2 linked regions of the Arabidopsis thaliana genome follow. The protein of the gene in region 2 interacts with the protein of the main gene of each other region in a biochemical or structural test. Each region holds a gene or a part of one and is shown on either strand. Other genes may lie near its edges. The genes, in order: AHL22 and HDA9.

Evidence for each region.
Region 1: the proteins of HDA9 (region 2) and AHL22 form a complex in vitro, tested with the Arabidopsis thaliana proteins (one study listed by BioGRID).

The regions. Positions count from the first base shown.
Region 1 is NC_003071.7:18,725,621-18,729,548, forward strand, and holds AHL22 (AT-hook motif nuclear-localized protein 22), read left to right. Parts: upstream 1-1,883; 5' UTR 1,884-2,227; coding exon 2,228-3,181; 3' UTR 3,182-3,652; downstream 3,653-3,928. UniProt on the Arabidopsis thaliana protein: Transcription factor that specifically binds AT-rich DNA sequences related to the nuclear matrix attachment regions (MARs). Binds an AT-rich DNA sequences in the FLOWERING LOCUS T (FT) promoter.
Region 2 is NC_003074.8:16,228,315-16,232,242, forward strand, and holds the start of HDA9 (histone deacetylase 9), read right to left. Parts: upstream 1,696-3,928; 5' UTR 1,439-1,695; coding exon 1,402-1,438; intron 759-1,401; coding exon 646-758; intron 525-645; coding exon 407-524; intron 334-406; coding exon 259-333; intron 185-258; coding exon 1-184. Other genes in the region: AT3G44690 (uncharacterized protein), read right to left, coding at 2,371-3,928. UniProt on the Arabidopsis thaliana protein: Responsible for the deacetylation of lysine residues on the N-terminal part of the core histones (H2A, H2B, H3 and H4).

The sequences.
Region 1 (3,928 bases), on a different chromosome or scaffold from region 2:
AGCCACCCTTCTGAACTTCAGGCATATCTCTGAACTGAGTCAATGTTTTAAGTAATTTAATTTACCATTAAATGAATCCTTCACGCGTGTCAGCGGCTGCACGTGCGAGTGTGAGCTGGTCCTCGCTGGATTGTCTTGTTACGTGAAGGCATCGCAACCGACGGGGACAAACATCCAACGGCGTCTGACGCGCCTGTTATCTTCTCTTTCCTCCACTTCCTGTCTCTTTAGTTTTCCCCCAAGCTTACGCGATTTACGAGCTTGAATCTGCCTTATCGACCCAACATACACAATTAATCTCCGAATATTATACTATGCTCCTAGAGTCCTAGTAGTAGAAACTTACTTTATGCTAAAAAGCCACAAGCAAAATAAAGGAATCGGCTGAAAATAAAGGAATTTAAGCCAGTTCTTCTTGAAATGTTTAATTGGTAACTTTCAAACTGGTGCAACAGCTTTCATAATAATTTTAAGGAGTTGAAAATTTAACGTTTCCACATTCTTTTAGTTGAGTTAGACAATGAATAAAAATTCAATCTGATGTTGATGGTGTATTTTATAATTAACGACCAATTGATGTTGTGTAAACACAATCATTAATATACTACTTCGTATACACAATTTTCACTTTGATGACTAAAACCATGTGATAGTAGAATCGTTAAAATAAAAGAAATTTGTGATTTTTAAATAAATTTAAGTACACAGAGACTATATACATTAAAATTTGATTTAGTAAAACAACAGTATCCATATTCCACAATATATAATAGGCACAGTACTATGTGTATAATTTTTTTTCTAAAAAAAGCACAGTATGTGTATATATAATATATATATATATATACATATACAATTAAGTGGTTCTGATAGATTTTAAGTGAAATATTTAAAACAAGTTCTGTCATTATCCAACCACAATAACGTCTCTTCTTCATAATTTCAGCTTCTTTTCTCCAATTCAACTCTTTATTATTTGTCACTAACTTTTATGCACTTTAATTAATCTTAACGTACACATGTAGTATATTATTAAAAGTATTTTTGTTCATAAAAACAATTGTATGATGTGAGAACAAGAAAATAATTAAATTTGTTCTGCAAACAACCCCCAACGAATCCTCTAAAGTCTAATGTATGCATCATGCAATCGGGATTCATAATGGTCGTAAAAAATTTCTTCTTTCAACGCAAATCGAAGTTTATGATACGTAAACGCAAAATTAATACTGATACTCCTCAACACAGTATACTTTTATTTTATCACTAAGTGACGTTTAAAAGTTTAAACGAACTATAGATAAGCTGTAAGGTTTATCCTACCCACTTTATTTGTACTGTAGAGTTTAACTTTTTCTGTTGCTCTATAAGTTTTTGAATGTGTAAATTGTTTTTTTTTTTTTTTTTTATGTTCTACCGTTACATCGAGAAACATAATATAATGAAAAGACTCGTGACTGTTTGCTAAAAAAATAAGACTCGTGAATTGATAAAATGTAATTAAAAGACCGTACATTAAGGCATGTACCACCTACAAAATCATGCATATATGCATCAGTTTCATCATGAGCTTCATTTTTTTTTAATTAGTATCCTTTGATCAGATTTAATATAAGACTCGTGCGCTTCAATTTGTGTGTCCATTATAATGTTTGATATAATCTCACGCATCCATGGACTATCTAGTAAACCTCATCCAATATTTTCATAGACTAAAAAAGAAAAAAACCTTATACTTCAAATTTTCAATTAAAGGGAGACGAAACACAACTGAAAATTATTACACAACTAACAAAGAGAAATATTTTTAAAGAAAAAAATTGTAGAGCCCACAAAGTGATGCAGTAGGTAGGACCCACACACCGCCCATGCGGCACGCTGTCTATCTAAACCAAAACTAACCCATTCATCATTCATCTTAACCTTAACCTCCTCCTCCTCTCTGACCTAACCCTAAACCCATCTCTCTCTCCTTCTTCTTACAAGCTTCATCTACATGTATTACTAGTGCAGCTCCAGTTTCGTCTTACATGTATATGACTTTTGTATTACCCTTCTCTTAATTTCTCTACTTCAGATTTTTTTCTCCTTAGATTAATTTAATTGAGTTATTGTACATCCCTCAAGCTAAGATTCTGGTTTTGTGAGTTGAGTGGATGAGAAGAGGAGAGATTAACTAAATTAGGGTTTCAATTGTTTACTTTTTGTTTGCTTTTTATATCAAGTAATGGATCAGGTCTCTCGCTCTCTTCCTCCACCTTTTCTCTCAAGAGATCTCCATCTTCACCCACACCATCAATTCCAGCATCAGCAGCAGCAGCAGCAACAGAATCACGGCCACGATATAGACCAGCACCGAATCGGTGGGCTAAAACGTGACCGAGATGCTGATATCGATCCCAACGAGCACTCTTCAGCCGGAAAAGATCAAAGTACTCCTGGCTCCGGTGGAGAAAGCGGCGGCGGAGGAGGAGGAGATAATCACATCACGAGAAGGCCACGTGGCAGACCAGCGGGATCTAAGAACAAACCAAAACCGCCAATCATCATCACTCGAGACAGCGCAAACGCTCTCAAATCTCATGTCATGGAAGTAGCAAACGGATGTGACGTCATGGAAAGTGTCACCGTCTTCGCTCGCCGTCGCCAACGTGGCATCTGCGTTTTGAGCGGAAACGGCGCCGTTACCAACGTTACCATAAGACAACCAGCTTCAGTACCTGGTGGTGGCTCATCTGTCGTTAACTTACACGGACGTTTCGAGATTCTTTCTCTCTCGGGATCATTCCTTCCTCCTCCGGCTCCACCAGCTGCGTCAGGTCTAACGATTTACTTAGCCGGTGGTCAGGGACAGGTTGTTGGAGGAAGCGTGGTTGGTCCACTCATGGCTTCAGGACCTGTAGTGATTATGGCAGCTTCGTTTGGAAACGCTGCGTATGAGAGACTGCCGTTGGAGGAAGACGATCAAGAAGAGCAAACAGCTGGAGCGGTTGCTAATAATATCGATGGAAACGCAACAATGGGTGGTGGAACGCAAACGCAAACTCAGACGCAGCAGCAACAGCAACAACAGTTGATGCAAGATCCGACGTCGTTTATACAAGGGTTGCCTCCGAATCTTATGAATTCTGTTCAATTGCCAGCTGAAGCTTATTGGGGAACTCCGAGACCATCTTTCTAAATCGCGAAGAAAAAACAAGTTAGATACGTTCGTTGTTTTTAATTTATAATCTCTCTTCTGTCAAGTTTTAATTTTCTTTTTCTTCTTCTTTGTTTTCTAAAGATAATTGTAGTCTTTGACGAAGATTCGTGGTACGTATGAATCGAAGAGAATCGTTTTGGTCATGGGATTGATCGATCTATTAGGTTTGAGAGGGGGTTTGTGTTTTGCGTTGACTAGCAGATTATAAAATTGTTGATTTTCGAGTTTTTATTTTCATGTGTTGGTGATAATTAGCTTTGTGTCTATCTATGTATGTTGAATTCTAGTGCATAGTTATTATATCGTTGAAAGGTTGTGATTAAGGTTAAACAGGTCACTAACAATGTCAAATTGTTATGTTCTTCCGTTAGATTTTGGGTAATAGGTCAAATGAATTTCTTCAAGTCCGTTACTGCTGATTAATCAAACTCTAAACTCATTTTCCAAAATCACGTTGTTTGTACTTTTTTCTGTTCAAAGAGTTAACAACGGTTATTTTTATTTTAAAGTTTAAACGGCTGTAGATATTTATAATTTAACTTAAGTTGGAAGACATAAGAAAAAAAAAGATGATTGTTCCGAGGTTGGTTAGAAGATGGTGAGGCAAGAGGCATAATGACAAGAACAAGACTTGGGAACAAGGTGATTGCATTTGGCAGATACTTTACATTTACACGAAAATCTTTGTATAAACATCCAAATATTAAAATCTAAACTAATTTTCAT
Region 2 (3,928 bases):
CCATGATGAACATCTATATCTATGTATAGAACACGGGGATGGTGTTTTAACAACTCAAGAATTCCTAGCACGAGATCGTTGATGTAGCAAAACCCAGATGCATCACATTTTTTGGCATGGTGCAACCCGCCCGCCCAATTTATAGCAATGTCACAGAGTTTGTTGTTTAACCTGCGTGCAGCATCTATAGACAAAATTCTCGGTCAGTCGTTTCTCTAAAGTGACAAGCAAACATGAATACCAACTGTGTATATTTACCTATGGTTCCGCCGGCGTAAAGTTGACAAAATTCAAACAAATCTTCAAAGACAGGACAATCCTCTCCCAGATTATCTGCAACACAGTAACTTAATTTCAGCTTAACATGTAGATTACAAAAACAAATTAATGAAGACACAAAACTTACATCTAGCCATTTCATTGGGGAACAAGTTCTGGTTTTCTGGATTAATTCGTTGCAGGAACTCTACATAGTCAGGAGAATGGAACTGAGCCATCTCGATAGGATATGCTTTGTGTGGACGCTGAAACAATAGAGAACATATACAGATTTCAATCGAGATGTACCGTGATATCATAAACAAAAAGAATAAAAGGATCAAGAACAAAAACAAGAAACATATATGATGAGCAAGAGACACTAACATAAACTTCCATCTTGCTATGCAGGCCATATGCAAGGATAAGATGATGGGTCATACAAAGCCTGTGAGGTTTCATCGGGTGATTCGGACCAAAATAGACACTCCCCACATCCCCTGCAACCCAAAAAAAAACATTCAGCATAACATCACAATCTCATATAAACTGCCTCAAAGGCTCCAATCATCAACAAGAATATAATCTGAAACTCGCATCAGAGTTTGAATCATGCAGAAAATCTGAAGTACGAAAATGAAAGTTATATAACTATCAAGTCTATAAAAGTTTCTCAGAGAGGAATCTCGAAAGAACACAATTTCAAACATTATATGCAATGCCAAATTTAACAAAAGTTCTAGGGTTTCATATTTTAGCAAAGAAATAACAAAGACTTGACCAAACCAATCAAAGAAGTCAACTTCACAGGTACTAGAGTCGTCTTCACCACAAGAAGGCTTCTATCTTAAGCTTAAACTCAGGCCAAAGAATCGAAAAAATCAGAAACTTCACCTAAAACCCTTGTTCTTTTCATCAAAAACCCTACTCAATTCTGGAGTATTTCCAAACTAATCGTAACCCTTTACTTATTCTAGACTATAGATATGAAAGATTTCACCTTTCGATGCATCGATTGAGCAATAAAGACAAAAACTAGTGCGGTTCAAGTGGATAAAACTTGCTCAAGAGTTACATCAATCTCAAGGATTTTGGAGTTTCTTTACCATAAATAAAGAAGAAAAGGGAAAGAAATGAATATACCATCATAAAAGTAAGAGATTTTGTCCTTGGAACGCATCTCTTAAAGAAGAAAAGACACGAAGATCGTACGAAATCAATCTTAAAGAAAGATTATACAGAGATATTTCAGGTCTGCTTAGATTCAGTAGAGAGATGAGACGATTTCTTCATTGATGAAGTCGCAGAGATTTCACGATTCTCCGGCGGAGCCGAGAAGAGAGCAGCAACGAAGCGAAAAGAAGAAGAGAGAAGAGAAGAACAAGGGGAGAGTCAAAAGTGAAACGATGTCGTTTTAGTGTTCTGATGACATGACAGATGACGTCATTTAAAGTGTATTTGATAAAAAGCGGTTTTGACTCATGGTTTTATAATACCAGACCGGTAGCTTTCCATCATTTGAACCGAATCGAAATTGAATTTGATACTGTGTATATAAATCAATCGATTTAGTTATATCTTCTTCTTTCTCTTGTCTGGTTTAGTATACATCTTCAATTTCAAAACATGTAAACTGAATCAAATTCGACCAAGGAATGATCACAATCAAAATGAGAAAGAAAACCAATTTCGAGATTATAATAGTAAGAAGTTGTTAGATTATATAAACTTGTTGAGTTATTTACTTGTTGATCTCCGATGTCAATGTCACTACCAGAGACCAAAAAAGACCAACGTCTCGTAACCACTGTCTACTTGATTGATAGGTCGATACAAACCACCGACCAAACAATCTAAAAGACAGACAAAAATCTCAACATTTTAAAGTCAAGTTCAACGCCAAAAGAAAGCATATCTACTAACCAAGATAATATCCTCCATTGCCAAAAAACTTCAATCCTTGAATCTGTTTCTAACCTTTTTCAGACCAAAAAAGAGCCGAGATTACAACTTTAGGATCCTTCGTTTTCACACCCATCCTTTGAAAACCTAGGAGCTTTTCTCTCTCAATCTTGTTTGGAGGAATCAACAATGTTGAGAGAAATGATGACCTCAGGAGAGGTACCTCTTATGGGACTTACCTTTTAGGTTTGGGTTTCTAACCTGATGCAGTCTATGTTTCACATGAACACGTGAATCTTCTTCAACACGCCCACCTAACCGCTCCTTTGCAGATAATCGACGGCGTCGAGTTGATGTGTGATCAACATTACCAGAATTCCTTTCATCAGCTGAGTATCGGAATTGTTCTCTGCTTATTCCTCCATCCACTGCATAGTTCCCTAGCTTGTCTCTGTAATCATATGCTACTTCATGTTCACGGAACCTTTTACTATCTGCCTTCTCATAAGACATTCTTGATTGCTTAGCATCCCTGTAGTTGTAATCATAAGGCATATTCTCATGCATAACCTCACTTGCGTTGTCTCTAAGACCATAATCATCTCTTGTACGCAAAATTGAATCATTCGAATGATAAACCTCTTGTCTACCATCTTGATATCTCATATTGGCATAAACTTTAACATCACCACCATTACGTCGTTGCAAACGCTCATCATCCAAGTAGACTTGATCTCGGTCATCAAAAAGATATCTCCTGCCTCGAAGAGCTTCCTCATCTTGCTTGCCAGCTGATGATCTACTGACATCAGGATGCATCACCCCATACGAATCAATTTCATGATCTCTTAGGAGTTGCTGGCTTTCATAGGGCAAATAGGCTTCCCTTCCGTCATTCGAGGACATTCCTTTACGCTCTAGAGCTCTAGCACCTCCTCGGTCCACAATCTCTGCTTTGGTGACAGCAGGATACATCCTCTCATCAATGCCAGAGTCGTAGTACTTCAGTTGTTGTTTATTGTAATGCTGATAAACATCCTTGCTTTCATTATCCAAATACGCTTCATTTCTATCAATGAAGGCTACTCTCCTAAGCTCTAGCGCCTTGGCATCTCCATGGTCTACTATAATATCTGACGAGTTGACATCACGATATATCCTGTCATCAATGCCATAGTCATGATCTTTCTTAAGTTGTTGGCTTTCGTAATGCAGATATGCATCCCCCCTTTTATAATCCATGTATGATTCCTCTCCATCATCGAAGGATCCTCTTCTACGCTCAAGAGCTCTGGCTTCTTCCCCGTTTACAAGAATATCTGATTTATTGAGACTGGGATGCATCATGCCAAAAGAGTTAGTTTCATGATCTTTTAGGAGTTGCTGGCTTTCACTTTGAAAATATGCTTCCTTTCGATCATTTAAGGATACTCCTCTATACCTTAGACCTCTTGCATCTTCATGGTCTACTAGAATATCTGATCTGTTGACATCAGGAGGCATCATGACATAAGAGTCAGTTTCATAATCGTTTAGGAGTTGCTGGTTTTCACATTGCAAGTATGCGTCCTTTTTATCATTCAAGGACACTCCTCCATACCTCCGACCTCTGGCATCTTCATGGTCTACCAGAATATCTGATTTGTTGACATCGGGATGCCTCATGACGTAAGAGTCAGTTTCATGATCGTTTAGGAGTCGCTGCCTTTCACATTGCAAGTATGCTTCCTTTTTATCATTCAAGGAAACTCCTCTATACCTCCGACCT